Daphnia pulex: one gene and its partner. The protein of the gene in region 2 interacts with the protein of the main gene of each other region in a pairwise test. Links are inferred from orthologs where the notes say so. Each region holds a gene or a part of one and is shown on either strand. Other genes may lie near its edges.

Region 1 (12,052 bases), on a different chromosome or scaffold from region 2:
GTCAGTTGGCATGCACTTTCAATATAATACACATTCTCGGCGTATTTTATTTAAAAATTTGCGAAATTGTGTTCAATCCTTATTTTTTTACTTGTCTGATTTTGAATCTTATTATCCAACTTTCTTCGAGTAAAGAAATATTCTAAATTCTCATAAACTTAAATATAAGAAAAGGGCGAATCAGATTTTAAAAATACACTCAACCGCAGATTGGAACCAGCTTTTTATTCCAACAAATGAACATGCTTTCCTTCAGTTTCATCGAGAAACAACACGGAAAAAACATCATCAAAGAACTCTTTATAGTAAACGCATGCGCGTTTACAGTCCGGAGCCCAGTTAACTTCCAACAACATGGGCTGTATCGATGGTCCACTATCGTCACCATCTAAAAATAGAAAAACAAATTTTTACATGCCCATAAAACTCATGGACGATAACTTTCATTGGTTGTGAAATTTTTAATACGTACCTAGAACATTATCTGTCCACGCTAACATTAAATCGACTGCATACATTGCACGGGATTGCGGGGCGGCAGGAATATGAGGCGCATTATCTTTCTTTTCTACGCTTGATTTCAGCAAAGAAGATAACATGGCAAATATTCTTTTCTCCACTTTGCACCATTCTTGACCTGGATTTTGCTCTTCGAAATAGCGAATGAAGTCATGACAAAACATCTAAATAGTATGTTCAAGAGAGTTAAAAGAAAATGTCAAAATGAAATTACATTCCCTCTTTAAGTACCTGGTGTAAATTGGTAGGCGAATAGTTCATAACCGTGAAGTGGCGTTCATATTCGTCAAAATGATCCAGTTCGAAAGGCTTGTTGGCGAAGCGAATCCAGAATCGCTGATAGACAAAGGCTTTCAAAGGTTCGGTTGAACTGAGAAGAATTATGTAGCGCAGGTCGAACTTGACTTTGGCGTTAACATCTTCTCTATAAAAAAGTACCGGCCTCTCTATATACCGCTGACAAATTTTGGGTCCACTGACGGCTAAACGTAATATCATATCGAGATTGTCAGTGATGTGAGTGTCCATGCTACGCGCTAAATTCCATGGTTTAATGATCCAATAATTCGGTGTTCCCCTGCCAAGAGAAAAAAGAAAACCTACAATACAACGAAATAAATGGATCGCAACAACTCATAACAAAACAAAAAACCCAAACAATAAAATCGATAAATATAAAATGGGATAAATCATCTTACAATTTTTCTTGCGCGAGAAAGTAAGCCACTAGTTTAGGAAGCTCTGTTTTCAAATTAAATGTCGTTGGAAGCCAAGATGGTTCGTTTTCCAAAATTTCTCTTTTGGAACTAATACTGGACCTTCGAGCAATAACGCAAAGTAGATCCTTAACCTGATTTTTTTTTTAAATAACATTATTAGTTGGAAGAAAATCAGAATCACAGAAAACATACAGTCAGCAGATGTTCACAGGGAAATTGATTAATCCGTTTAAACGGAAAGTTTTCGCTTAGCTGCCTAAAAGAGTCAAGAAAAGGGAGTTTTTGAGGTAATTATTAGTTCTAATTTCTAAACGTTTTCAATTACTTGAAATCCTTGAAATGTGATGAGAGCCAAAGAATTTCTGCTTCATCAGAATTATCTACCAATTGAAATCTAGGGTGTTTCAGATAGTCGCGAATGAACACATATTCAACGTAAGTGCGGATAGGTCGATCACTCGGTAGGCCAGGTATTTCAATATCGGCATTCGGAAGCGTTTCGGTCATTCGACTAGCCTTTAAAAACCTAATATTATTAATTTTTAACGATCAACAGAATTATTCGATGTTAAGCTTACGGAGAAGTAGTCCGGTGAAGGCTCGACTTGTTCTAGATCAACGGAAGCAAGGAATTCTTGAGAAAATTCCTCGGACCACGGATGTAATAATGCTGACCGACTAATTTCATCAGCTCCTGAACCTTCAACGAAATCACGGGTAACTTCGTCGTTTTCATCAAGATCACTCAAAGGGAACATGATCGAATAGGTAGCTTGTTCGGACATAAAGAAAAATGGAACAAGACGAACGGTCGGATGATCAGAATGTTGAATCCGTGATCTAATATTTTAGAATAAACAAAGTATTAATATTATTCAGCATACAACTCTGAAATACAAAAAAGAACTACTGCAAAGATCAAAGTAGAAAGTAACATACCCAAATTCATCCAAAATGTACCAGATGGGGAGACGCTCCTCGGCTTCAAGATTTTGGTTACCTTATATTAAATTTAAATTTAAATTTTGAGAATAGTAAAAAAACAAACAAAGCAATAGCATATTAACTACCAATGCTATATGTTTGACTGTACTTCCACATGCTGGCCATAACCTTCTTAACAATTACTTCAATATTATCACTCTCAGCAGAATAAGCAACATCCATGAGGTTACACATCCTAGCAAGGAGGCCTGTGATGTTAAGCAAGTGGCTCCTAACTTGATCTGGTCGAAATGTCCAAGCATGGTCAACAAGATAGATACTAACAAAATAAAATTACATTAAAATTCTGTTATATACATGATACAGACATTTACACGAAGAACATTACTGCTTTGGATCTGCTGCAACAACACCTCCTGAACATGTAACTAGAACTTTCCATTTGTTGAAAGCATTACTCACAACGTTATCATCTTCATCAATTTGTGCTAAGCTAAAGCACTCCCCAGCATCAAAAATCTAAAAATTAAAAAGGAATTGAATTAATTATCATAACCAAATTTGTGTAAATTCTTCAGGAAGTTGTCAGAAACTTACGCTATTCTTTAGCTTCCAATACAAGGTCTCCCAATAAATTTCAGGAACACCAGAGGACTTTAACCTTAAGACACTTGTATGTGATACATGAACATAAATAATAATAGTAATGATTTTACTGTGCTTGATGGAGAGCTATAAAACTTTTCAGTCCTTCCAAGCCATCTGCAAGTTCCAAAGAGGACATTTCCCTTCAAAGTTTAAATTCAATTAAAAACACATTTATTAGTAAGGATATTTTCGATAGCCATGTCATATACCTTTAATGATTAACCACTTTACGTATTTCAGATAATACGAAACACTTTTCAGTTGATTCGCAATTTCGCATATGTCAAAAACAACTTGAATTATTTCTTTCCACGTTGAGAAAGCAGACTGTCGATCGTCTGCTAGGCAGACACCGTTGTCACTTAATGCGTCGAGCAAAAATAAAAAATGCAATTCCAATCCAAAATTCCAACTCCAACAAACCCTAAAAAAGAAAAAAGAAAACTATCTCTCGATAGAATTATATTTATTTTGTCATTTTGTTTTCAAAATTGAAAAAAAAAAACAGAAAAATTTATTGTAAAAGAAATATGACGCACGCGCATATTTTGTAACACCTGCACATGGTTTGTGTCTTGTCTGTTTTGGTCTGGTCGTGGTTTTCAAGTTTTATACATTTCCCAATTCGCATAATTTAAAAAATGGAAAGCAAGACAGGTATCCTTAAATGATTATTATTTTATCCTGACACAAAAATTGTATCAATTTTCTTCTTCCCATTACTTCTAAAATTTTCAGCGTCGATTTCGGGATCAAAAAAGATTTCACTAAAACCCAAAAATGTGAGATCTTCAGCTTATGTTAAACGATTAAAGGTTGCACTAACCAAACAGAAGGTAAATTCTAATTCTGCTCACCAAAGAACACCACTTTCAGCTCCTCAAAGAAAAACTAAAGAGAGAGCATCGATTGCTAGTGATGCAAGACAAAGATTGGAATCTGCACGGTTCAGGTATTTTTTGTTGTTGTTGACAATATTCCAGCCTATCATAACATTTAATTTCAGGTATCTGAATGAAGAGCTGTATACCAAAAGTAGTAGTGAAGCATGGGAACTTTTCCAAGAAGACCCCCAATCATTTGATATATACCACAAGGGGTTTAAGAACCAGGTTTTGAAATGGCCAGTCAACCCATTGGATATCATCATCACTGATCTTATGAAAGGGTAAAATAAAACAAGCCATGTGCTAAAAAATTGCTTTAATTTAACAAATGAAAATTTTTTTTTTAGTCCTAGAAACTGGGTGATAGCTGATTTTGGTTGTGGTGAAGCTCAGATAGCAAACACCATTCCTAATAAAGTTCACTCTTTTGACCTTGTAGCAGCAAATGACAAAGTTACTGCTTGTGACATGGCTTCTGTTCCTTTGGCAACCAAAGCTGTTGATGTGGTATTTCAGCATTATTTATGCATTATAAATTTTGATCAAACAACAGATATTGCTTGTTCAGGTGGTCTTCTGCTTATCTCTCATGGGTTCCAACATACATGACTTTTTAAAGGAAGCTAATAGAGTCCTTAAAATTGGGTAAATGCTACATACAGATTTTAAAAAATAATAATCTTTATTGATGTAATTTTTAAATTACAGTGGTACTTTGTGTGTAGCTGAAGTTGAAAGCAGATGTAGCAATATTAATGATTTCTTGAAAACAATTGAACGTTTTGGATTCCAACTCAAAGAAAATAACGTTCAAAAATACTTTTTTCTCGCAAAGTTTAGCAAGATTCAAAACATGAGTCCCAAAGCAACTATGCCAAGAATATATTTGAAACCTTGTCTGTACAAAAAACGATGAATAGAAAAGTACACATAAATGTTGAACATCATAACAAAGAAACCGACTCATTATATGTTACGAATGTACAGAAACGTATTTGGTTGAAATAGAATGTTTGTTTTAAAAACTGAAAGAAAAATTAGATCACGCGCAGAATTTGTGCATCAACTATTTTGAATGCATGAATGCCAATTCAATCCTCCACATGCTATGCTAACGACAAAATACACAATAACCTACGGAAAAATAGATATTTTCAATTAGATTTCATTTAAAATATTATTCCGAATTTTAGAATGTAGTTCAGGTCGATAAATGGTAAAAAAAAAAAAATTACGAATGAAATAAAGATAGTTATTTAAACTGTAAAACAATTATAACATACCAAAATCACGGCAGCAGTAATTGCTGTTATTTTTATGTTTTTCCAGAACAAGGAATTAGCCAAATTTCGACTTGATTTCCGGAAAGTAACAGCCTAAAAACAATTTAAAATAACTTACTTGGTAAACCAAAGTAAAATTTAAAAATATCTAAAATATACATACTGACGCGCTGAGGCTTTCGGTTTTATTAACCAGTAATTCTAATCTTTCGCCACGTGCCGCTAAGGAATCTAATAATGAGCAAAATTAAATTAAATGGTATTATGTTACTACTGCTGGAGGTTGCAAATTCTTGCTGGCTCGTATTTACACTTTACCTATATTTTTCACCATTACATCTTTCAAGTCGTCCAATTCTCCTTGAACTTGAGAAACGGTATCGATATCTCGAGATTCAGAAAAGTGTTTCTGGTTTTAAAAAAAAAATCTCAGTAATGTCTGAAATAATTGAGAAGAATTTCACGACTTACCATTAGCCCTGCCAAAATTTTCGAAAACTCCGTGTTCATAGCATATGGTAGAGCAGAGTATGCATGGGCTCCAAAAGTATTTACAAATTTCTTTTTAACTTCATTCAAAAATAAAAATGCTCTTGAACGTTCAAATTCCTAAAATAAAGGTTTCTATTTATATATCATCTTCTACAATTGCAGACAATAAAAAAAAGATTTACATCATCTGAGATGCAAAGATAAATTATTCTGTCTTGCAAAATATAGTGGAACAAAAATGATCCATGAGAGTAGGTCATTTTTGAATCATCAAGTCCAATTTGAGCTAGAACTTGCTCTGTGATCTCAGAAAAGTTTCCAGTACAATTATTGGCAAATCTAGCCAAAACAGTGTTTCCTCTACTAACAACACTATATAACAGCGGCATTTTCCTTCTAAAAAATTAACATATGAGATTATGTAATAAAGACTAAATATTTTTTATGGGTCAACTAATCTCATACCAACAAAACTTTCTCGACGATTCAGACGATCTTCAATCCCATCAATAACTTGACGAACGTGTATAAAAAACTGCAGAGAAACTCACGATGGATTACAGAACTTATGAAGGAGCAGATATTATGACACTCAAAAGACGTTGCTATAGTTTTGGATAGTTGTAGGACGAATATAATTAATTTTTGTAAGTATTAAGGATTAAACAACCTATCTTAAATTATCAAATGACAATCCACTCCAGTCAATGACTCAATGTTGACTATTGTCGGAACCACGTTATAGAGTCTATGGTTTGCTCACTCACTAGAGCAGAGCAATAGATACCTGGTCGGTTCTCGGCCGTGTTGGCTTCCCTATCCCGGTTTCAGGGTAAACGTGGTCCGATTTGGAAAAATTGATGAGCGCCTCTAGTGAGTGTGTCAGGTACTACGTGAAGCCAGCCAATCAGGAAGGGTCTATGAAAAACTCATTGACCAATCACAGCTTACTTTTCTACAAGAAGTGAACAAAATAAAAAGGTAGAAGTATCCAACTGTCAAACCTCTAGGTCTTTTCTAAGTGTCCCAACATTCTTACATTTTATTGTTTGGTTGTGTAAATTGTTTATTCTTTGTAAGTGTCCAAACATTCTTACATTTTATTGTTTGGTTGTGTAAATTGTTTATTGTTCCGTTGACATAATACACTACTTCTTGTTTTGAAAATGTACACTTTTCACATTATAATTTTCATTTGGTAGTCGATCCATCGAAATGCAAAAAATCGTTTGTTTAATTTGATCAAAATACCATGTCCAATTCTTTGGTACCATTGATGAAGTTACTAGTGACTGAAATGTCACAAAATTAGACTTGAAATTAGTAGAGCTTGCTTCCATAGAAGGTGATGTAACTGTCGAATCATCAATGACAACAGCAACATTTTCGTTCATTACATCAGGAAGTGGATCAAAAATTGCTTCTTCAGCAGCCTGGTGAGTGTCCATTGATTCTTGAATAGTAGAGGTAGCTTCCATAGAAGGTGATGCAACTGTCGTATCTTCCATGACAACAGCAAGATTTTCCTTGATTGAATCTGGAAGTGGATCAAAAATTGCTTCTTCAGCAGCCTGGGGAATGTTGATTGATTCTTTAATAATTTCCATGGAGGGTGCTATCAGATAAAATTTAAAGCAATTGCTCTTATAAATAAAATGTAACGAGAACTATTATCAATACCTGTACTGTCAAATTTTTTTCTCTTAGACGTAGTAGGTATTTTGTCTACTTTTGGTCGTTTCCTTACTGATGCATTGCTAGCATTTGTTTCCACTACAATACATATTTAAGAATTGCGTTATTTGATATTAAACAAAATAAACATATTTAAAAATACCATTAAGGTTATTTCTCCATTTGAAACCATCAACATTTTGCATTGCTTGTCGACTAGGTGTATCTAAAATGAAAATGGTTCAGTTTCTGTGCTTTACAGATTATACAGGAAATGTAATATCAATACCATTTATCAGAAAATGTTTGGGAATTGCTCCAGCATTACGATTCCTACGTTTGAAAGGATGGAACACGTTCAAAATTTAAATCCCTGATTTGAAGTCACTTTCGTCAAAATGACGGGAGCAAATACGTGAGGTGCTCGTCAAATAACTACATGGAATTAGTTCTCGCCATTTAGATAATGAAGTTTTAGGAATTGCAAACAGGGTAACCTCGTTTTCTTTTTGATTTCCTTTGAAATATGTTGATTTACAACCAGGAACAGCACACCTGCCAACCATTTTTACAGAAATTATGGTTAGGCTTCATTCACGTAATACACGATAATGGCCGCCGTATTCACATATTACACAAAAATGGCCGCCGAAAGTATTATTTGAAAGTCAACGTCTTATCACTAGATGGCGCTGTTTCATTTTTACCACTTCACAACTTCTGACAAGCTCCGCCCTAAAATGTCTGAAAATCGGGGATACGTTTACCCTAAAACCGGGATAGGGAAGCCAACACGGCCGAGAACCGACCAGGTATCTATTGCTCTGACTAGAGTCACTACAGAAAACCCAAAGAGCTCGGCAGTCGGCACCCCAGCGGCCAAACCATAGCAACTTTCAAACAGCGCCTCTCCTCTAAAGTTTTCTCTACTCTAGTCTACTCTATTAAAACTTTATTGAACTTGCTTTTCAAAACCTTTGGGCCTTCTAGAATTATGGAAAAGATGGAGGGAAAAATATATATTTTTAAACTGATAATTAATCCTAGCACACGTTGCTTATTGGCTTTAATACCGGCTTACCCTGTTCCACTTAATCCTAACCCGCCTAACCTATGAGCCCTCCTCCCCAAAAAATCCCAATATTTTGGCTCCTCCCATAAATTTACAAATTTTAAATCTCTCATAACGGAGGCCAAGATATTTGAAAAAATATTGGCATACAATAATAAACAACACTATTAACTTAAGTACCGGAAAGTTTTTAGCTACACCTTTCAATATTAGAGTAAAGGGAAATGGGGGCTTAAAATGTCCCGCTTAATCCCACCCTCCCCTACTGAGTTGAAATGAAAGAATATTGGAATCCTGCCGAAAATTATAACTTAAGAAAAGTATTGATCGTCTAAAACTTTTTTTTTTTTCGATGTTTGCATTGCGCAAGTCGATGCGCATGGCTGATAGCCAAGATGTTTGTAACATTGCGCGATCCCACTGATACATTTACTGAGTGAAGGTCTAACTTTCGAGTGTCTTGAGCCAACTTATCAGCTCCTCTTAATTAACCGAATCGTATTTGGTAAGATCTGGATTTTCTCAATTTTATCAAAACAATTCATGTGCAATAAATTCAAATTCAATGGAAAAATCAAGAAAAAAAATCAAGAAGAACGAGAGGTCATAGATACGAGGAACAGGAAGCTCTTATTAATTGGAAAATATTGAGTGTCGACTTCTTAAATTAAAAATTGGTTCCAATACTTCGAGAGGCTCACCGCTCAAATTTGCGTAATTTTTGTGTAATTTGTTTAGTTTGCTCAAATTACGGGCGTGCGTCTAGATAGACTTAAAATTTGAGTTTTTTTGGCAAGGTGTACGAAGATTTTTTTTTTTTTTGTGGTGAAACCCCTCGAAAGTCTTCACTTTTATTTACTTAAGGCAAATAAAAACCTACAGCAGATTGCCGAAAATTTTTGTACATAACAGATAACACTAACATTCGGATATCTCTTCCACTTCCAAAATTAAAACATCAAATTTTTCGATTGTTTGTTCAGAAAATCATGCTTAGTGAAGCAGAAACTACACCAACCTTGGATGAGCCAAATCTACCGGAATTTTGCGGAGCAACGTTATCTTTAAACAATGCTTCAGGCACTATTTCAAACCAAAAAATCGTAAAGCAAAACCTTTTTTCAAACAACGAAGCAGATCAAATGAAAGAAAGAAAGAAAATAGCTGAACTCCAACCCTGCGGTCCTTCATCAAACTGCGGTACAATTCTATAAGCTTTTTTAAAAATATTATGATGGGCTGACTTCTGACAAAGCTATTGTTTTACTATACCGTAGAAAATGTTCCTTTATCTCCAACTGTTCTCAGCGCTGAAGCTCGTGGTGGTGACGGTCAAATCATCTCACAAGGCTACTTCAGTTCAAGAAATTACATGTTCGCGATCGAAAATTGCAAGAGAATCTTGACTCGAGGAGAACCTGAGAACCATGGGGTTTTCGTAGGAAGTTGGTTGCTAACTATGTAAGACTTTTAACTAAATGTTGTCAAGTATTTTCACTAGCGCTCAAAAATAATTGCAATATTCCAGTACGCGACGAAACACACACGACATTGATTTTGTTTCTTTTTTCGTACCGTAGCTTATTTGAAAAAACCGCGCTTCTTTCGTTTTGAAAAAAAACTTCACTTTCTGATCTGTTTTGTTTCATCTTTTGATGTTTGTTTTCTATTGAGGACTAAAGGGTCGATCACTGGGACAACGAAAAAGAACGACTGATTTTGCTTTATTCTCGAACCTTGTTCATTGTAAAATACGACTTCATCACCACGACTCTTCAAAGCTTCGAGACCTATGCACTCCAGAAAATTATTCACCTTACTATTGGGAATATTGAATACCCAACACACTCAATCACACCGTAAGTTTTTTCCGTTCAAATTTTTTTTTTCTTCAGATTGATGGGCATTGGTTACCAATCAACTGAAATTTGTCACAATCATGTGGATTGCAAGTAAATGTTTCTCTGTGTAAAAATGAGATAAGATTTTAGTGTCTACTTATATCGGATGATTGAAAATTAATTTAGCTTTTGTCGTATTTTTATATGAATATACTTTAGGAAATTCCAATACCTCGCAGATTCTATAACAGGACGATTCTCGTCTATTCTACGAGGTAACTTTAATAGTCAATCGGCATCGGAGCTATTACATAAACGTTCAACAGGTGAAGAAACTCAAACTGACTTCACTTCCGACAGGTAACATAACTAAATCAGACATGACACATTGATACGTTATAATGTAGAAATGTCGAACAAAAGTTTTCAAGAAAGTTCTTGCTTTGGAATTAGATTGAAAAGAAACGGCGTCCGAATTTTGTTTGGGTCCGTGCCGGCAGAACCCAATTTTACCCAGTTATGGAATCCATGGAGCAAGGCAATTCCCTGGTTAACGTTTTTATCGCATCCACTACTTTCAAGTAAAAAGATTGCAATTCTGTTAATCATTATTCGATGGATGTTAACTCTTATTTTTACCTATGAATTTTAGCTGAACACACGACTCCTGCTATATTCGACGTTAAAGATTTTACAGTCAACCTACAGCGAACTTTGCAAAACGAGTACCAGGGTTTAGTTGAATACAAGCCAATTATAATGAATTCGTATTTAGGGCTTCCAGCATTAGTACACAACTACAGTCAATTCGGATTTTACAAAGTACGAGGGAAAGTAAGTTTTTAATACTCCACCCAATCTTCCCAACCAATAGGCTTCAACTTTTTTGTATTTAATTTATTAATGTTTTCGAAGTCCAATACACAAATAAAGAAATCAAACAAGCATGGTCGTCTTCGAAGCTGCACTCTATACTTCTACATTTATTCAGGGGACCAAAGCTTGTAAGTGCGATCGTACGAGGCTGTGGCGATGAACGACCCGTCAGGCGATACATCAACTGCCATAACCTGTAACAATAAAATAAAAAAATTGAGAAACACATCACAAACGTATCTGATTAAAAAATTTACTTTTCCGTCATGTCCCGAAAGGGTTTTCAATGGTTGCCAAGTGTTACTCGCCCATATCTAGGGCAGAAAATTATTTCAAATATATATAGATGACAAATGTAACATTTAAAGAATGCAGAAAGAAAATCTATTAATGATTATTCATACCTTTGCGGTACAGTCATATGAAGATGAGACAATATACTGTCCGGAACTTCTTTCGAATTTCACGCTCGACACTAAATTTGTGTGTGCAGGAATAGTATAGATACAGGATCTCTTACGTAAATCCCATATTTTACAGGTATTGTCTTCACTTCCAGTTACTATGTGGTAGCCATTAGGTGATATATCGATGCCCAAGACACCTTTTAAATGACCTTCCATAAACATGATGCAGCGCCCAGTTCTGAGGTCCCATACTCGACCAAAAGAGTCCATGCCACTAGAAAAAATTCCACATGTAATTAAAATATTATGTTAACATATTTTTAGGTGTTGGTACCCTGTGATAGCCACTGAACCATCAACATTGAATGCTATGTTGTATACAGGTTTGGAATGCCCTTCTTGATGAAGAACTTCTACACCCTGTTCTAGATCCCATAGCCTCCAGGAATTATCAAAAACACATGTAGCTAAAAATCTTCCAGAAGGATGAAATTCAACTTTTGACACTCGATGCGGAGCATGTCCTTCCATATCAGCAATCGGCTCTTCACTTTCTAAATTCCACAATTTGACTGCGCCGTCCATGGAACATGAAGCCATATTTAATTCTGAAGGTTCTAAGCTCAAGGTGGCTTGTGGATGGAAGACTATTGCTCCAACACTACACTTGTGGCCTCTCAATGAATGAG
Region 2 (12,102 bases):
CTCTTAGATTGCTCTTACATGATATTTTTATTGTTTATTTGTTTGTTCTGTGATAAGCCTTGATAAGCGCCACCGATTTGAAAACTAATTACCGTTCGGTAGTTAATGATAGTCTTTACACTTCAGTCTTCACCATTGTCTTCATTCGCCAATTGCTCAATTTTCCTCTAATTTCAAAAATTATTAGAATTACCACTCCCTCATTCCGACTGTAGTCGATGGCAAGTGTCACGATCGTGTTAATAAGAAACTCGACGTGTCTTTTCCGTGCATTTTTTTCCGTTTTGGAGGGGGCGGCGAACTCTAGAGATGAAGGCTTCTGTTCATGTCCGCTAGGTGGTTGCCAAACCAGATTTACGTGGTGTGTGTTTCTTCTGTCATTTTTCCCTTCAGAAGGAACTTTTGGGGCTTTTCCGCCGCCTCCGCTCATAGCACATAATATCTTTATTCCTAATTTGCGATATTAGTTGGAATCTTTAAGTGTTTTGGTGACTATATCCTAAGTTGTGAGACACCTGTCCGACATTTGAAGGGTGTTTATTCCAGGAAGATTGCGCCTCTTCAGTGAAACCATCATCTTATAATCATGGCTCTTACTAAATTAAAGGGAAACCTTGAAAGGATATTGGACAAAAATCTGGCTGATTTAGTAAGAGGCATCAGAAACAACAAGGAAAATGAAGTATGCAAAAATTTTCTTCAGTCTTGTTCCCAAAAGTTGGATGTATACATTCTGTCTGTGCTATTTTTCAGGTCAAGTATATCGCTCAATGTATTGAAGAAATCAAGGCAGAGCTCAAGCAAGAAAACATTGCAGTAAAAGCTAACGCTGTGGCAAAGCTGTCATATGTACGGTTATTTGATTTATTACATTGATAATTGTGTCATTTTTAACGTAATCAATATGTTTACTTCCTTGTTAGCTTCAAATGATTGGCTATGACATCAGCTGGGCTGGCTTCAATGTAATTGAGGTTATGAGCTCTAATAAATTCACTTTCAAAAGAATAGGATATTTAGCTGCATCCCAAAGCTTCCATCAAGACACTGAGGTACTGGATTATATTTAATTGATTTTCTCTGTTTGTTTTTATAGCTAATTTTTTGTTATTACACTTTCTTAATAGGTACTCATGTTAACCACAAATATGATCAGGAAAGATTTGAGTAGTCAAAATCAGTACGACGCTGGTGTGACATTATCAGGATTGGCATGTTTCATCAATCAAGATTTAGCCAGAGACCTAGCAAATGATCTGATGACATTGGTATGTTCCTTTTTGTTCTCTTCTCATTCATTGGATTTTTTATTGATTTTCCCTTGAATGTTTTTCTCCAGTTGTCTTCAACTAAGCCTTACATAAGGAAAAAAGCCGTGTTGCTTATGTATAAAGTTTTCCTTTCGTTTCCCGATGCCTTGCGGCCTGCATTCCCCCGTCTAAAAGAAAAGCTGGAAGATCCGGATCCCGGTATCGTATCTAGAGATACGTGACTGAACGCAGCCCATTATCGATTGCTTTTGCGTAGGTGTACAATCGGCCGCTGTTAACGTCATTTGTGAGCTGGCCAGAAAGAACCCCAAAAATTATCTCAGCCTGGCCCCAATTTTCTTCAAATTGATGACATCATCTACCAATAATTGGATGCTCATCAAGATCATTAAATTGGTAAGCCTCCGTAATGATGGGGTACAGTATACTGGGTATTCTAGACTAACAAAGTTTAATGGTCGAAAAAGAATCGATGTTTTCGTCAAAATTGTTCCATAATCCGATACGTTCTTATTAGTTGAATGCAATGACACAGTGCGATTCTCGCCTAAGCAAGTGCATAAGCCAACCACTTATAGCCATAATAAAAAGGTATCAGTCGTGAAAAGAGCGATAAAATTGTAAGGCTTGACTAGGATTTCATTTCCTCCCTTAGTAGATCAATATTGACCGCATTCCCTTGAAATTTTTTTTGTTTTCACTTGCTTATTATTTTGTGTATTTACAGTTTGGAGCTTTAACACCCTTAGAGCCTCGCCTTGGCAAAAAGCTGATTGAACCTTTAACTAATTTGATTCACAGGTAACAACAAAAAATGTCAACACCTTCCTATTTGATTTGTGCAACACTAGCTTTGCGCTAGACTATCAATTTTGATCTGTCGCCATATTTGATTATTTGCTGCTTTCATTCATTTTTGCCAACATTATTTTTAATCGATATCGCATAATTTTTTCCAGCACTTCAGCGATGTCGCTGCTCTATGAATGTATCAACACTGTCATTGCGGTTCTAATTTCCATATCGACCGGCATGCCTAGTCACAGTGCATCTATTCAGGTACCACCAACCGATCCCTTATCGTTTCAACATATTCGATATTTTCAAAAGAAATCAACTCATTTTCCATTTTTTTAATTTAGCTGTGTGTTCAGAAGTTGCGTATTTTGATCGAAGACTCTGATCAGAATTTGAAATACCTTGGTCTACTAGCCATGTCCAAGATCTTGAAAACGCACCCGAAATCCGTTCAAGCGCACAAGGATTTGATCCTGCTTTGCCTTGATGATAAAGACGAATCGATACGGTTACGCGCTCTAGACCTTCTCTACGGAATGGTTCGCTTCACATTTTCTTTAAAAATAAACCAATTTTTAAATTGTTTCTTTTGGTTTTGTAAAGGTGTCAAAGAAGAACCTCATGGAAATTGTCAAGAAACTGATGGTGCACATGGATCGAGCAGAAGGAACGCAGTACCGTGACGAGCTTCTTTCTAAAATCATCGAAATTTGCTCTCAAGATAATTATCATTTCATTACCAATTTTGAATGGTATTCTAGAGTACTCGTAGTGAATGAATTGATTGAAAAACTCAACCGCTCCATCTCTTCCTTTTTTTAGGTACATAAGCGTTTTGGTGGATTTGAGTCGAATGGAAGGCCTCCGCCAGGGTCACGTTGTGGCTTCTCAGCTGATGGATGTAGCGATCCGCGTTCCTGCCATTCGTCCATTTTCTGTTGAACAAATGGCTCTCTTGTTGGAAACATCGAGTGGCTTTGCTATTCGTGGAATCACCGGACAAGTGGCCTTCTCTTCCATGTGCGAAGTGCTTTACGCAGCCGCCTGGATCTGTGGAGAATTCGCATCGTAAGGATTTTTTGTGTAACTCCGTTGGAAACAATTAAATAATATCTTTTATTTTTATAGGCATCTTAAAGAGCCCGAAGCAGTTTTAGAATGTATATTGAAAAGCAAAGTGACTGTACTCCCTGGTCACATTCAAGCTGTTTTCATCCACAATCTGATGAAGCTTTACGCTCACATTCTTCACAAAGCATCCACGGCGGATGAGAAAGAGAAAGCACAATTGGTACTAAATTTTGTTTATGGCTTCATCCAATTCAAATTCTATTTCAACATTTCCCTGTTTTTGTCTTGAAAGATGCTGTGTGTCCTTCAAGAGCGACTGACTCCGTTCATGCAAAGTGCCGATTTGGAGGTTCAGGAGCGCGCCAGCACCGCTGTCCACGTCCTCAAAGTGATTTCCAAATTGCAGGACGCTGGCGAAGGAGACGTTGTCAACGAATTGATGCAGCTCTTCCAAGGCGAGCTGAATCCAGTAGCGCCTAAAGCTCAGCGCAAAGTTCCATTACCTGAAGGGTAAGCCACAAATTTGAAAAAACCGTTTCGTTGAGAAACTTTTGGTTTACAATTTCTGCTCGTTTAGTTTGGATTTGGACGCCTGGATCAACGAACCGGAACCAGAGTCGGACGAAGAACCCAAAGCTGACGGAGGAGGGTCCCTTGATATTTTCTACAAGTCGAGCACATCCGCGCCCGACTTCCGCGACGGCTACCAAGGCGAAGGCGTTTACGACGAAGGTGACCAGGCCCAGTCAGACGACGTCCGCCAGCAGACGCTTCGGCAGCAGCAGGTGCGCCGCGAAGCCCTTCGCGTCGAGCAGGCCAGCAACCCGCATTATCTCAAGGGTTCCAGCCAAGCGCGACGGTCACCTTCGTCTTCCTCGCAATTATTATCTCCGACCGAAGAGATCCCCGTCATGTCCATCAACTTGTCCGTTCCACTTCAGGTCTCCACTAGTAGGAAACTCTCCGACAAATACTTGGAGCTCGAACGAAACAAGGAAGCGTCTTCCGATTCCAAGAAACATCGATCCAAGCGGGACAAGAAAAAGAAGAAAAAGAAGGGTAAATACCTGTTCAATTCAACAATATTTTTTATTGCAGTGTAATAACGTTTGATTGTTATCCTCTCTGGTTATAATAGGTTCCAGCGACGAGGAAGAGGCCGCCGCCGAGATTGTTGCTCCACAAGTGATATCTACCATGGAGTTGCCGGAAGGAGCGCGATTGTCGGACTCTGAAGACGATGGGCGACCACAGACGGACCCCCACCGCGCATTGAACATTGATTTAGAAGAGTATGTTTTTTTTATTATGGGCTTGGCTTTCATTTGGTTGTTATGTAATTTCACGCTCTACTTTTTGGGAATTTCTTTGCCATTTGCCATTTTTCCCACAGCCATTCTTATCCGAAAGAAAAACCGGTGGTGCGAGTAACCCTGGAACCGGCAGCTGCGCCACCAATCCCAGCCAAATCCAAGAAACCCAAGTCGAGAAACGGGGTAGAAGGTCTCAAGGAAGAGAAAGCCAAGAGAAAGAAAACGAAACAGGAGAAAGAGGAGAATGCACCGCCGCCGCTGCCACCGACGACTAAGGGCGTTAACCTCAATGACGATCTTGACTTTTGGTTGTCGGCCAGCAACGGCAACGACGCCAAGGAAAAGAAAGTCGTCGCGAAAGGTGAACTGACCATCGATGAAACTGCCACGGCGGCCGACTCCCAGAAGACGGCCAAGAAGACAAAAGACAAGAAGGAAAAGAAAGACAAGAAAGAGAAGAAAGCCAAAAAAGAAAAGAAGAAGAAGGACATCAAAGACTTTGATGACCAAAACAATCATCTGTCGGATAGTGTCATTGCTCCGGTCGCGATTGCGTGGAAATCCTTAGTAGATGACAAACGTCTCGTCATGGTAAAAATTCAACCATAGGTAACCCGAAATCGTTTATAGTTGTTCATTTCACTTTTGTTTGTTGCAGAAATATCGTGTTGTCGCTGTACCTCACGATCAGCACCAAGTATTAGTCCCGGTACAGCTCCACAATCGCAGTGGCAAACTGATTCATTCGATGATCTTTAATGTGGTCGACTCTACCAACGCCCGTCTATGCCGTGGGCAGCACGAGCAAGACGGGGTGGAATTGCCTCACCAGTTAGCCAGCCAAAGCCGAGTCGAAATTCCATTTGCTTTCGCTGTCGCCGACAGCACCATGCTGCACCAGCTCAGAGGTGTTTTGACCTACATGACTCAGGTATCAAGTCTACCAAATACTACTAATTTTCCCCCTCGGGTGATATTAATTGAATTCTTTTGCTATAAATGTGAAGGGAGAAAACGGATCTGTCTCGGAAAAGTTGGATTTCAAACTGCAAATTCCATGTAGCGTCTTCCTCTCTTCTGACCCCATCAGTGGCGATCAATTTGCCGAATTATTGGCTTCCCAGGAACTGATCGGCAAAGACAAGGCAGTGTGCGAAGGAATTGCTTTATCTCAGGTACAGCCATTTTTTAAAGATTGGTCTTTTAATCTATTATTAATTTTTAATACGTGAATTCTAAATGTCTATAGGCGATTGATCGTGTCAGTAGAGAGCTTAATATGCGTTTAGTCGAAATGGATAGTTCGGGAACATCCGCCTCGTTATACTGTCGCCACTCCACCGCTCATCATCTCTGCATTCTCATGAAATCACAGGTATTTGCAGCTAGAAAATGATTTAGGTGTGTTGCCAGATTTTTATTTAATAATCTATCAATTGTAATTAGGCGGATGGTCGGCTGAGCATTTACGGAAAGAGCAGTAACCCGTCGTTGGTATCGTCGGTCATGGAAGAAATGCGGCAAATGTTTGCTTAATACAAAACGTGTCGCTCCTGTCGATCCGGTTTGACGCATTAAACCTAAGATGATGTTTCAATGCAAAACCTGAAGGGAAGTTTATAACCGAAAAGCCGAAAAGAGAGAAAAAAAAAGAGCCTTTTTGAAGTTGTTAACCTATTCCAAGTTGAATTCTAATGTCAATCCAATCTTAACATGTTACTGTATTTTTCTAAGTGGATAAGGGTTGGGCGAGATGGTGAAGCGCAATTGGATCGGTGGTCATGAATCATCTTGTGCTCAGCTTCCGTAAACTTCAAAACAAACAACAGCGAAAGAGAAATATACAATTTGGTTGATTATCTTAATGTATAATTGGCGTCCTTTTGAGACTGTTTAATCTGAGATACAGAAAGGAAAGAAAGAAAAAAAACAAACAGTACAAAAGCGTATATAAATCCGATTACAAGCATGCATAGTAAAATCCAGTTTTACTACAATGGGTATACCTGCTAGAGAAAAACTAAATACCTGGGCGTAACAAACTTTTAGTAGCATAAGAAAATGAGAAATTCAGTATTAGATATGACTGTCGCATTGTGGACATCCACCGCCTCACAGATGTAAGACCCACAATCTTGGGGTTTCAATTGGCGGATGGTCAGGTAAGCCGAGTCGGAAACGACGGACACTCCATAACGGGGATCCTATCAAATGAAATTAATTAAAGTATAGAACAAATTAAATATTTCTAGATAATAATTTACCTTGTGGATCATTTGAGTTCCAAAAGCGATCGGTGTTTTAATTGTAGATTCCAGCAAATTGTTTTGCGTTTCGGCCACACTTCTGTGTTGCGTTTTGTACCATTGAAACTCCTGCATTGTAATAAAACAAATAATTATGACTAGACATTTTACGAAGAGGTAACTTTTTTAAAAGTTGACAATGTCTTTATAATAATCTAGGTTTAGTATTTCACGCTTTCTGATGCGGAAGGTCCTTTAGCTACCAACCATTAGAAAAACGAAATCGCCAAAAAGGTTTTTTCCATCTTTGAGACTGACATCACAAAAAATGTTAACTTTCTTGCACGTCGTCTAGACGAGCTTTCTTATTATGCAAGTAAGAAACTTCTAATTTGCAAGTTGTGAAAATACTAGCAGGTTTCAAGAATTAGGAGTCAAGATGTAGTAACAGCTAAGGAAATGCTTCGTCAATCTAAAAGAATAAGATGAACAGAAGTGCAATATAAAAAGATATTGTGTTGTTGCGTTCAACCATCCAGCACACGTTCTCCCTGGACATTTCTCTTTCGTTTTTAAAAAACAGAAGGAAAAAGTCGAACGAAACCATTGCCACTTATTATTTCGCCTCCGGTTTAAGGATAAACTAATGGCGTGTGTTTCACTAATTAAAATCTAAGAATGAAATCGTTTAAAGTTCCATTTGGGCCCCCATTTTTCACTCTTCCAAACTATCCAACAATTTATTATTTAAATGGAGTTTTTTCGTGGCGTTATTATATAACTTGAAGCACAGCATATACAGACGTGGGTAATGCAGCACCCCATTACATGCATCGCACGTTCTCCGCCTACAGCGCCAGCGCTGGAGAAAGTGTTGGAGAAAGTAAAAATCCCCCGGCTGTGTCTATCGCTGCCGCTTTTGGAGTTGCTGGCCGCTCTTCAAATACTATTCTTCAATTTAGGTGATGGCTTTTGGCTATATGCAGTCCATAGATAACCACATGTTTTTTTTTTCGCATTGCCAGCAATGTAAATATCCCTTTTCACGCATAAGCAAACAGCAATATCCATTTCCGTGCTGGGACATGCGTAGAAAGCCGCAGCACACTATCTACACAGCTGGTTCACTATATATTTCTCCTGACCAACACAACTTATTGCCACCCATAAAATGTTTCTTTTTGGACATGACGGAACTTTCCTCGAACAAGAAAATGTAGGCTAAAAATTAAGTTACGCTCTAACATATCCGCTCTTAAAGTAATTTAAGTAATAGCCAAATAATTCAATGCAATAATTGGAAAATTCAAATTTACCACTGGTTGCTGAAGTTGCTGCTGCTTTGGCCAAGAGCAGGTAATGGTCAAGTCGTGCAGCAGTTTAGGGCAAGATGAAGTTCTGGTTAGCAGCCGATAAGGTTTGGCCACCGATTTTTTGACAATTAAAGATGGAGACTGTTGCTGGCGACTCTGAATATTCACCGCCTGTTTGATGGGCTTCGAGTAAGGCCATGGCCAGCGATCCTGAGCAGGACTACCAGTGACCGAAGTACCGATGGGAGATTGATTAATCTCTGGGCTTTTGGCCTGTCTGACGATAGTGGTGTGATCGGGATTCAAATTAGGTGAATTGGCCCTTCTCCCTTCAGTTTGAGCCGCCGGTGGAATGAATTCGGAATGCGGAACCGGCGAAAAATTAGGGACGAAAAACTCATCCGCATCCAGGAAGCGAATTTTAGAGACGCCAACTGCTCCACTGTGAGGCGAAGAAGCCAAAGTCGGACTGGGATTGGCTGGCCGGAAACTGGCCACGACCGGCGATTGGATGGAATGCTGCTGGTCGTTGTCTTCCGATTGCGATCGGAAGAGAATATCTTTCAACGATCGGTACTGAACTAAATCCCTGCTCGTTTCCACCGGGAAAAAGACATTGGGCGCCACTGATTGGATCAACACTGATGCGATAAGAACAAACAGCAGCAGCAGCAGCTTAGAAAATACGGCGACGTAACACACGGAAGAGGACATGCTATTGACTTGCGCTGCACAACTCTTCTCAAGACGTTCTGACGAGAAAGCTGTTGCTTTACAAGTCCAGCAAAGCCTGCAGGATGACGGCGACAGCACACACACTCACAAACATTCAGCCCGGAGATGAAAGTCGCCTCTTAGCTCTTGTTGTTGTTGTACACCCTGTTGTCCGATGGAATCGAGTTGAAATGCTTACAAAAGGGAGGGGGCAGTGCTGCGGAGAAAGTTGACTTGGATGATATTGTATGTATTTTCACTTGTGTATTTCTTTATACAAGCCAAGGTACCTCCTTTTTCACAAGACAAAATAATCTGAAAAAAAAATTCCCGGAAAAAATTCGCGGTGAACGCAACAGTAAATCAAAGTCTGAAATCGAAAAGAAATTGGTTTCACGTTACCTTTTTTTTTTCGTTCGACCATTTAGGAGCTATAAAAGCAAACAATCGGGCTGTTATCAAAAGAAAATTCTTTAAACTCAAAAGAGAAAACTTTAATTCCATACAGCTAGTTTTTAGTGAGATTATTTACTTAATTGAATTAAAATAGAAATAACTAGCCAATTTTATTTTATGGGTGTTTAGAGAAACGTCATATCCACTAAGGATTAATTTTCCGGGAGCGGGAGTTTCAATTCTTGTCAATTTAGTTTGATACCACTTGGGCCACTGTGCACACAGAAAAGCTATATGGAGAATAAACTTACATACATGTTGTTTTGTCACTACAATATGTGAAACCAAATGAGCTTTGAGAAGAGAAACTTGTCGGTTGCGCTCGGCACATGACCAAGCAATCGACCGCATACTTTTTGTTAAAAAATACAACCCATATATTGATTGATGATATGATTGGATTTATATAGTACAGATATTATACGTTGGGTGAATTTGTCTATCGTTTCCCATAGAGAAAAGCTAATCTAGAAAATAACCAATAATACAGGTTGCTAGTAATGCCGAGTGATTTGAGTCCAAAGAGAAAGTAACTATATGGTAGTCATCATGTGGTAGTCACCATAGCAGTCGTCAACTACATATTGTTTACCAGTTTATTGATTATAAGAAATGCAAAAATGAATAATAGAAAATTTTTTAATGTCGAAATAATAAGAAAGATTTTCTGACATTAGCAAATAAAAATCTAAATTGCTACCTTTAGAAGATTAGAAGTAATGAAATCCGCAACGCTGAAGGAATAAATGAACGCGAAAACGGAAACCCTTTAGTGTTTTGCGTGAGTTTTGACTAGATTATACGTAAATTGATAACTTATTATAAATTACTATTTTTTCTAAACCTTTGGAACGGAGCAATCATCTATGTTAGTCCATAGCAGCATGATAGCAGGTCCTTAGTCGTTCAAGTCCCTGCTCCCTGGGCGGGCATCCCAGACGTTTTCCAATCCAGATTTAATTCTTATCCATTTATTTATATTTTCGTGATATGTGCTATTTACAAAATATGATACTGTTACAGGTTTATTAAATTTTTAATTGGTTAGAGTTTAGGTGCGCAACGAGAAGATTGCCCTAATGCCCTACTCCAGCAATGTCTTTGATATGAGGCTCAGAGGTGGCAGCACTTGCACGAGCAGACTGATGTTTACAAAATAAGTCACACCGACTCGGCATCGTCTGCAGCAAAAAAAAAAAAAAAAAAAAACTACTAAACTCTTTTGGCCAATTGTCATCCACTAAAGGTTTGTTAAATTAAAAACTAAGCTTATAGTCTTTGTTTGGCATTTGTCATCTCTTAACCAGCATTTAGCCATGTAACGGTTATTTCTTATAAAAAGGTTTTCACTAGGTTTTTATTCCTTTGCTGTTCTGCCTTATGGATCCTAATCAGCTTCAATCTTTTTGGCTTCCAATAATATTTGAAGCTGGAGCACAAATGGAAGAAATTGACAAACAACAGCAATGGCAGGTAAATTTGTGCAAACCATAATTATATTCTCATTCAAATGATTAATCATGCTGAAATTACAAAGATTGTAGCTGCCATGTTAGGATGCAGTTCTCATCTTGAATGGAACCTAAAATGATTGCATCACCTCCCTGGTCCAATCCATCTCTGCTCCCGCTGCATTGACCGATGTCTAAAACCGAATATGTGGAGCGCTGCATGAAGCAAACTTAATTTATTCACAACACTATAATGATGCTTTTTTTGCTGCTGAATGATGATTTTTTAATTATTAAAATTTCTTTAACATGACTACAGACTGCACAAAAACTGAGTGATCATCACTTATTCTTTTATTCCCTTATTCATTTACATTGCGTGTAAAACATTTTTATACAGTGTCTTGGAAATTTGCAACTTGCATCAGTCCTACGTTAAAATTTACCTACTAGGATTGTGACCCGGCTATATGTGCGTAGACCTGATTCAGCTGACGGCTTTGGGGATTTTTATGTGATACCAAAATTTATGTAGCTAGCAAATTTCGAAAAAAATAAATAAATTGTGTTGGCATCTCCGCTGAATATCTGACCACATTCAATGATGAGCTAAAGCTTCATCGGGCACGGCATGGGAGGAAATAAGGTTCTTTGAACGAGTTGCAGTCTTTTTCTTAACCTGGAATTCATCCCCTGGTTAAAGTAGTTTGTAACATCATACGGATGGCAGCTCTTAAATGTACCAGAAGGAAAAGTGCCCACTCTCTTCTACTGAGTATTAAATAATTCCATGGTAGTAATAGTCTATAACAAGCATTATATCATTTTTTCATTGTCACTGTTTCAGGAGTTTTTCGGGGTGTACACGAATTACTTGTTAGATCCAAGTTGGTATTTCGCCTGAAGGAGGGATTAGCCTACTATATGCAGTTGTCTGTGCTTTTTGGCGACGCATCAGAGATGTTCGACAGTTCGAGTATTCCGCTTCATTTGTCGGTTAAGTAATATTTGCGTATTCAACATTTGTACGTTATCCAATAGTGTTTTACGTACATCATCAGGGTACTATTAAGTCAGAAAACATAACTTGAGCTATAATTTTGTTAAAATTGAAAATTAAGTTTATACATATCACAGAAAATCTAATTATTTCAAATCTAAATTTTTTGTTTGAAACAGGAAAAGTAAAAAAAAAAAAAATGTATGAATTAAAAATTCACAATCTCAAAGTTCTGGCCAATCAAACTGAGGCATTCGGTAAGTATCATTATCAAGTTCTAGACGTGAAAGCCTGGGTCCAAAGTAGTTAATTATATAATGAGATCCATCAGCAGGTCCAACAGTTTGAGTAGCAATCAATATGATGTCCACAATTTGACCTATTTTTAGGTTAATGTTATTCAAATGTTTATTAAATGTTGTATAAAAATATTACCTAGAAACATGCAACCCAATGTGCACAGTTTAAA

What was found.
Region 1: the proteins of AP-3 complex subunit delta-1-like (region 2) and vesicle-associated membrane protein 7-like interact in a two-hybrid assay, tested with the Homo sapiens proteins (2 studies listed by BioGRID and IntAct). The link is inferred for Daphnia pulex from reciprocal best matches to the Homo sapiens genes AP3D1 and VAMP7.

The regions. Positions count from the first base shown.
Region 1 is NC_060018.1:6,532,968-6,545,019, reverse strand, and holds vesicle-associated membrane protein 7-like, read right to left. Parts: upstream 6,251-12,052; 5' UTR 6,164-6,250; intron 6,029-6,163; 5' UTR 5,959-6,028; intron 5,890-5,958; 5' UTR 5,883-5,889; coding exon 5,676-5,882; intron 5,611-5,675; coding exon 5,473-5,610; intron 5,411-5,472; coding exon 5,320-5,410; intron 5,233-5,319; coding exon 5,165-5,232; intron 5,095-5,164; coding exon 5,002-5,094; intron 4,853-5,001; coding exon 4,781-4,852; 3' UTR 4,635-4,780; downstream 1-4,634. Other genes in the region: tubulin--tyrosine ligase-like protein 12, read right to left, coding at 225-388, 473-683, 751-1,096, 1,218-1,369, 1,431-1,494, 1,564-1,754, 1,817-2,078, 2,178-2,238 and 4 more; ribosomal RNA-processing protein 8-like, read left to right, coding at 3,473-3,488, 3,570-3,999, 4,066-4,225, 4,287-4,363, 4,427-4,634; uncharacterized protein LOC124188813, read right to left, coding at 6,642-7,108, 7,174-7,266, 7,331-7,373; tumor protein p63-regulated gene 1-like protein, read left to right, coding at 9,229-9,439, 9,517-9,700, 9,922-10,098, 10,300-10,440, 10,534-10,661, 10,733-10,926; U4/U6 small nuclear ribonucleoprotein Prp4-like, read right to left, coding at 11,064-11,150, 11,214-11,270, 11,361-11,637, 11,698-12,052. UniProt on the Homo sapiens protein: Involved in the targeting and/or fusion of transport vesicles to their target membrane during transport of proteins from the early endosome to the lysosome. Required for heterotypic fusion of late endosomes with lysosomes and homotypic lysosomal fusion.
Region 2 is NC_060021.1:779,627-791,728, forward strand, and holds AP-3 complex subunit delta-1-like, read left to right. Parts: upstream 1-339; 5' UTR 340-586; coding exon 587-682; intron 683-753; coding exon 754-849; intron 850-923; coding exon 924-1,052; intron 1,053-1,127; coding exon 1,128-1,268; intron 1,269-1,339; coding exon 1,340-1,469; intron 1,470-1,527; coding exon 1,528-1,667; intron 1,668-1,998; coding exon 1,999-2,072; intron 2,073-2,230; coding exon 2,231-2,330; intron 2,331-2,413; coding exon 2,414-2,608; intron 2,609-2,672; coding exon 2,673-2,821; intron 2,822-2,891; coding exon 2,892-3,137; intron 3,138-3,197; coding exon 3,198-3,360; intron 3,361-3,432; coding exon 3,433-3,650; intron 3,651-3,717; coding exon 3,718-4,199; intron 4,200-4,278; coding exon 4,279-4,432; intron 4,433-4,533; coding exon 4,534-5,044; intron 5,045-5,111; coding exon 5,112-5,384; intron 5,385-5,460; coding exon 5,461-5,628; intron 5,629-5,702; coding exon 5,703-5,828; intron 5,829-5,899; and 3 more. Other genes in the region: uncharacterized protein LOC124194089, read right to left, coding at 6,499-6,657, 6,718-6,828, 8,016-8,726; TM2 domain-containing protein CG10795-like, read right to left, coding at 11,858-12,012, 12,069-12,102. UniProt on the Homo sapiens protein: Part of the AP-3 complex, an adaptor-related complex which is not clathrin-associated. The complex is associated with the Golgi region as well as more peripheral structures.